Drosophila melanogaster: one gene and its partner. The protein of the gene in region 2 purifies or fractionates together with the protein of the main gene of each other region. This does not show direct contact. Each region holds a gene or a part of one and is shown on either strand. Other genes may lie near its edges.

What was found.
Region 1: the proteins of scw (region 2) and tsg purify together in Drosophila melanogaster (affinity purification with western blotting, with the first as the bait; one study listed by BioGRID). This does not show direct contact.

Annotation. Positions count from the first base shown.
Region 1 is NC_004354.4:11,987,270-11,990,609, reverse strand, and holds tsg (twisted gastrulation), read left to right. Parts: upstream 1-1,661; 5' UTR 1,662-1,697; coding exon 1,698-2,447; 3' UTR 2,448-2,548; downstream 2,549-3,340. Other genes in the region: CG18130 (uncharacterized protein), read left to right, coding at 1-371; gd (gastrulation-defective), read left to right, coding at 2,924-3,136, 3,180-3,339. UniProt on the Drosophila melanogaster protein: Involved in dorsal-ventral patterning. Required for specification of a narrow strip of dorsal midline cells that will give rise to the amnioserosa, but not for specification of dorsal ectoderm cells.
Region 2 is NT_033779.5:19,699,316-19,703,243, forward strand, and holds scw (screw), read right to left. Parts: upstream 1,654-3,928; 5' UTR 1,608-1,653; coding exon 405-1,607; 3' UTR 64-404; downstream 1-63. Other genes in the region: Lar (Leukocyte-antigen-related-like), read left to right, coding at 1,909-2,145, 2,207-2,353, 2,435-2,710, 3,012-3,035. UniProt on the Drosophila melanogaster protein: Part of the signal that specifies dorsal cell fates in the embryo. Acts together with dpp.

The DNA of each region.
Region 1 (3,340 bases), on a different chromosome or scaffold from region 2:
CTGCAGCTGCAGCTGCAGCGGCGGCTCATCCTTCGGAGGCTCCTGCTCCAGTCGAAGCAGAAGCTCACGCCGCAGAGGCTCCCGCTGCCGTGGAAGGAGATGCCGCACCAGCGGCTGCCGAAGCACCGCCAGCCGGAGATGCCGCACCGGTGGCGCCACCACCAGCTGAGCCAGCCGCCGAAGGAGCGGCGCCAGAGGCACCGGCTCCAGCTCCAGCTCCAGCTCCAGCTCCGGAAGCCCCAGCAGCGGAGGAGGCGCCACATGAGGCGCCCAAGGAGGAGGCACCTGCCGCCGAAGCGCCACCGGAACCGGAGGCAGAAGCTCCTGCTCCTGCTCCTGCCGAGCCTGCACCTGAGCCAGCAGCCGAGTAAACCAGTATAGCACTCATTATTACTCATTATTTGGCAACTAAATTTTTTAGTGTATACGCGAAAATTCCCAGTTGTTGAAATGTTAAAATTTTAAATTTAATAAAAAACTGAAATAGCATTCAATTTGTTGCGTAACGAAAATCGTTGCCTTTGAAATGTACAAAGCTATCTAAAAATATGTAAATAAAATTCAATATTTTGGTCAAAACATTGGAAATAATGTTGCAAATATGGAGTGTCATACCTCGTTCAGCTCGTAATTAAATTCCCAATCGAATGGCGTCCAAATTTAGAAATATTAATTTTTTCAGTTTTTTGACAATTTTTATGATGTTACCCCTTACAAAAAATGCAAAAAATTGGCCAAAAAATAATTTTACAAAATTCGTCAAAAAGTGATAGGGTTGGTTAGTATTGGTAATTAGGAGCATAAATCGGTAATTATTTTTGTTTTGTGACCATTTTTGACCAAGTTATACCAAAAATCGTTCACCCGATTTTTGTTGTAAATAAAAAAATCCGTATTTTGGTCAGAAAATTCGAAATAATGGTCTATAAATTGAATGTTATACCTCAACGAGCTTGTTATTTAAATTCCAATCGATTTGGGTTATAATTTGAGGAAAATTTTTTTTTTTTAATTTTTTTCGCATTTTGATACCTTACGAAAATGCAAAAATTGATCTTAAAATTAATTTCTTAGTATCCGCTTAAAAATGATATGGATCTTTAGCATTGGTAATTATCTGAGCGAAACTGTTTTTCTTTTAGCCATGTGATGATTTTTGGCCAAGTTATAAATTATGGCATTTTTGCCAAATGTCGTTTTTCTGACTTCCCTTAACATAATATATCGATTTTTGGCCAAAACACTTAACAAATTGTAATTATACCTGTTAAGTCCTTAGAGCCAATAATACCTGTTTGCGGTTAAGATTTAGGATTAAGAATCTGCATTTTGTTTTAGCCAACCAATGGACTTTATTTATGTTACCTAATTGGCTTATTTTATAACGGTTCGTATTAGTCAATAATACAGGTAATGTTTGCGTGTTTAATCCTAGAAGCTGCCTTAAAAGTAAGGCTATTTTGAGATGATCATCCCTTATTTTGGCACATTTTATAGGAGAAGTTACCTCTAAATGGTTTTAAATGACCAGCCTGCCTGCTGAGGGTCACTACCTGATTTTCGCGACACGAGGATTAGCGGATTGTGGTAAGGATGAGCCATCTACCTGACCATCTGGATACTAATATTAAAAAAACATATAAAGGCATGCCGCAATCGTGGATAATGTATCATAAGGCCGCGAGATCTCGTCGAGAATGCAGTTACTGTGCTACTTCGTCATCCTTTTCGTTGGAATCGCACCGTGGTCATCCTTGGCCAACGATGATGGATGCAACGAAGTGGTCTGCGGATCGGTGGTATCCAAGTGCCTCATCACCCAGAGCTGCCAGTGCAAGTTAAATGACTGCCACTGCTGCAAGGACTGTCTAAATTGCCTTGGCGAACTGTACATCGAGTGCTGTGGCTGCCTCGACATGTGTCCCAAGCACAAGGATGTCCTGCCCTCGCTGACGCCGCGCTCGGAGATTGGAGACATTGAAGGAGTGCCCGAGCTGTTCGACACCCTAACCGCCGAGGATGACGAGGGATGGTCCACCATAAGGTTCTCCATGCGAGCCGGCTTCAAGCAGCGCGTTCAGGGCGGCGCGAGTGGTGATGCCGGAAACGGAAATGGAAATGGAAATGCCGGGTCTGCAGGTGTCACCCTATGCACCGTGATCTATGTGAACTCGTGCATTCGGGCAAACAAGTGCCGGCAGCAGTGCGAGAGCATGGGAGCCAGTAGCTATCGATGGTTCCACGACGGATGCTGCGAGTGCGTCGGCGAGAATTGCCTCAATTATGGAATCAACGAGAGTCGCTGCCGCGGTTGTCCGGAGGATCAGGACCAACTGCTTACCGCCGATACCGTTCCGGCGGAGGCTGAACAGGATCTGGAGCGATTCTTTGGCAACGAGGAGATCGAGGACGAGTGGGGCTATGGCGAGGAGGATGAATTTTCCTAATAGCACAGATAATTTCAAATAAATGTGGTTCTTCAAATTGGAGCTTGGACCTCATCATAGCAAACGATCTCTTTGTAAATACCCATGTAAAATACCCATGTAAAAATAGCAAGGCATTTGCTAATTTAAGTTTTTATAAAAAAAAGACAACAATAAACTTGGAAATTATAAAAATATTCCTTTTAGTTCTAACAGTGGATCCAGTAAATGTTTCGTAGAATCCATATTTGTGGGATATAATTAATTTGTAAAGTTTTTTGAAATTTGAACTTGCACGGAATTGAGAATTTAAAGGATCAATTTCCCCTCTCTCATTTTAATTAACAGGGGTTACTTTCTTGGTCTGGCAACTCTGTTGGTGGATAAAATGCACACAGTGTTCCCGGACTGTTAAAGCTTCGATCGAAATTGCGGCATTGTTTACGTTTGTTTTGAGTGAAAAGCATTTTCATCCCGGGCATTCCCAGACACTAGCGATGAGGCTGCACCTGGCGGCGATCCTGATCCTCTGCATCGAGCACGTAACCAAGGCAGTCGCCCAGGGAATGCCGATCAGTCCGTGCCCCAAGGTGTTTCAGTACCGCTTCGACGGCAGCGAATGGTTCGGCCTGATGGCCGTGCGCAGTCCGGATGGCCACCAGCCGCTCCACATACGAGTTACGCTCTCGATGCGTGGCAAGCCCACCACGGTAAGTGGTATATTGTCATCCAGATGTTACCTAATCCCCTTAGTACACACAGAACTATCTGGGCGAAATCGAGCTACTCACACGCGGCAAGTTTACCCACAATGCACCGGTGCTGTATAAGATCCGCTTTCCCAAACATCACTTCCCGCCCAAACTGCTCCTCATGTCAGCCAACAATCATGTGATCTGCTTCGGATCCGGCGG
Region 2 (3,928 bases):
GCAAACATCATTTGACTTTCAAATTTATTGATAAATCTAAGATCTTACGAGTCTGTTACGGTTAAACCCCTGTGCCCATTACGAAAGCAGGTCATAAAAGAGCGTAACAAGTAGAGGTTGTGCTTAATAAGCATAAAAGTCTTGCAGCACAATATTCAAATAGGCTTAGGTTCTCGTAAGTGTAGCAACTAGTTGGGTCTTGAGTTTAATGAAGAGTTTTAGTAACTTACTTAAGCATCGATGGATATTTTTGAAAGCCTTTTTAAACAGTTGATATGCGAACACGGCCTAGGTTTAAAACACAAATATGTCAGTTTTAGAAGTACTTTTAGTTGTATTCATCTTATTTAAACTTATAACTACACCATGACTATGTACATCACAAACGAAATAGGCAATTAAATCTAATGACATCCGCACTCCTTGGCCACTGCCTTTTGGTATTTGGTCAGGTCGATGATGTCCTCATTGAGATACCGCAGAATAGTGATGGCACCCAAAACTGTGGGCACACAGCAGGGCTTGGGCAGATGCGGCTGCTTCAGGTGCATCAGGGTTTGGACGATGGCGTGGTTGGTGGCATTCATTTTGGTGCCCAGCGGGAAGTTGCAACCGCCGCCGCAGAAATAGGCCTCGAACTTTTTGGGCGCTATCACCCAGTTGTGCATGTGCAGCTCCTTGAAATCCACAGTGAAGTTAAGGCGCTCGCAGGACTGCGGTGGTCTGTACAGATCCACGGGCGGCGGCGGAGGAGGTGGTGGCGAACCACCACCGGCCCTTCGCTTCTCGAGATCTCTCTTGAAACGAAGTTTCTGTATTTTGACCAGCAGCTCGGGGCCGTTGAAATAGCCGACAATAAAGGGCTCTAAACTGGTGCGGCTGGCCTGTGGTGTCACCAATCCAGCTGCAAAGGTGCTCAGCTGGGAATCGCCAATTGATATCCTTAGCTCATTTCGACGTTGCAGTCCCTTATTGTGTAACCAATACCGCAGCGTATCTGTCAAATTGAATTCCAGCCAGCCACGTTGGCTGCTCGTAGTATTCACAGAGCCCAGGATGCGATAGGAAAAGTCCTGGCGATTGTCCAGTTTTCGGTACACGGACACGGTAAAGTTCGCCCTTCTGTCCACCAGACTTGGTTGCTTGTATATCCTGAGCATGGCCTGAACCAAACTCAAATCCACTGGCACATCGTTGGTGTTGAAGGTAATGTGCATATCAAGCTCGTTGTCCAGTTGCTCGGGTTTCAAGCGGCTCGAAAAGGTAAGGATGCTGTTGCAACTGGCAATCTCCTGTCGATCCTCGTTGGAAATCAGGATGTCATCGTCCAGCGAGCGTTTGTGGCGCTGATGCAGGACCTCTTTGGGCTCTTGGTCCTCGCTAATCTCGTTGTAAACTTCGAGAAGGAATTTCGATGCTGAATTGTGGAGATTGGGCTCCGCCTGTCGTCTCGGACGGTCACCCAAATCCAGGATATCAATCATCTCCATTTGCTCGCTCAAAGGACGCTTCTGGTATATGGGCATCTCGATGTGATTATTGGTGGTCACATATGTGGTGGCACTTGCAGCATAAAAGAGGCTGGTTAAAAAAAACACATTCAACATTTTGTGTTGTTCTCATAGAGAGACTCGAACGAATACTGACTTCCTTGGTCATAGAATAGTATCTTATATATGGAAAACAGGTAGTTCAATTGCATCAGTGGGCAACTGCATTTGGATGGATTGTAAAATAAAGCTATATAAAGGGTTAACCAACCCATTGGTCAGGTACAGGCTGAAATTTTGGCAGCTGTTCTAGAAATAAATATCAGGTATATTTCCAATAAGCATAGATTCTTAAGTATGACCTAAGTTGTATGAATTTTCAAATAAATCTTAACTATATCGCTCTTATTTCTTTTAGGCTTCCTGCAAATCGAAAACAGTCGCGAGGAGGATCAGGGCAAATACGAGTGTGTGGCTGAGAACTCAATGGGCACGGAGCACTCGAAGGCCACCAACTTATATGTGAAAGTCCGTCGTGTTCCGCCCACCTTTTCCCGCCCACCAGAGACCATCAGCGAGGTGATGTTGGGATCTAATCTGAATCTATCCTGCATTGCCGTCGGCTCACCCATGCCGCATGTCAAGTGGATGAAGGGTATGTCAAATGGTTGTAGAATATGGTCTTTCAATACTCAATTCCTATCCTTTTTTTTCAGGCTCCGAAGATCTTACACCCGAGAATGAGATGCCAATCGGACGAAATGTCCTGCAGCTGATCAATATCCAGGAGAGCGCCAACTACACTTGCATAGCGGCCTCCACTTTGGGCCAAATCGATTCCGTTTCGGTGGTTAAAGTGCAATGTAAGTGGAGTGGTCTTGGAGTGCGATGTACTTACATGGGAAACTGATAATCGTAATAACACGACCTGGTGTCTTTCACAGCTCTGCCCACCGCACCCACCGATGTGCAAATCTCCGAGGTGACCGCCACTTCGGTGCGTCTGGAGTGGTCGTACAAGGGTCCCGAGGACTTGCAATATTACGTGATCCAGTACAAGCCGAAGAACGCCAACCAGGCCTTCAGCGAGATAAGCGGCATCATCACCATGTACTATGTGGTCCGTGCCCTGAGTCCCTACACGGAGTACGAGTTCTACGTGATAGCCGTGAACAATATTGGACGCGGACCGCCCTCGGCACCAGCGACATGTACCACCGGTGAGACAAGTGAGTATCGCGGATGTGGGGCTATGGATGCCCCGCTTTATTTTCGGAGGACATTTTACTAACTGCTGCCCTCTTCTCTCGCCTCGCTATCTTTCACATGCTGCACAAAAGGACTTTTAACCAATTTCATTTTGAATTTAGAGTGCGCTTAGATCCGTTTTTATTTGCCTTGGTCCATTATGTCGGCAATCGTACTAACCCTTCTTGAAAATGTCTATTTGCCATCTCCCTCCCTCTCTCTTTCTTCCGCTCTCTCTCTCTCTGTCATTCTCACATGCTTTTGCCTTCTCAGGCGATTTCTCATTCGGTGGCACAAGTAAGTATCCTTGGCAAACAAAATTTTATGGTTGGCCAAAAATTGGCAAAACAATTTCAATAACAATTGTTGAGCAGCACAAATCCGACCCGAAAAATGTGAAAAGGGTATAAAAAGTAAGAAAAAAGTACAAAAAGTAAAAAAAAAGGAGCAAAGAAAGCGGAATAACAAGTAGCTAGATAGAATCAAAGGTAAATGCAATGTTAAAAAAATCGTTGCATACGCAGCTGCGATCCAGAACCATGCGTCCTGGCGATATCCTGACGTATGCGCGTAAGGGGGGGGAGGGGGTGTGTGCGGGGTGGCGCCCCAGCTGGGGTATGGGTGATATCCTCCCCCGTAAATCCCATAAAGTTTGCATTGTTATGCGTTCGTTTGGATGCTGATGGTTGTGCTGGTGTGTGTGTGTGTTGGGTGCATGCAACGCTGTTTTAGTCCTGGCAATTCCCGCGTAAGCGTACGCTTGTCTGACATGCCTTTCCGGCCACTTCTGTTTTTTCTGGCGCCTCTCACAGGGTATCATAATGTGTCCCAGCCCGGCTAGGAGCCCTGTATCACTGGCCTAAAACTATACAGAATGGTATATACAAAGTTCTGTGAACCTACTTGATCATTAAACTAAAGTCTAACATAGCTATCTTTCAGTCAGCTATTATATTTATTTACTCAATTCATAATAATCCCAGATTATTCTGAGACATTGCTTTGTATACTAAAGTAGTCTGAAACTAATTTTCTTAAGAAACCCCATATCAAAGGGTATTTCTCAATTCGATCAGCTAGCGTCTTCGAACAACAGCAGCAGCTGCAGTTGCATTTTTACCAGCAGATCCAAGAGCGTGTCGTACAGAAGTTGGAAACTTTTATTGCCGCAATTATGCTTATCGCTTGCC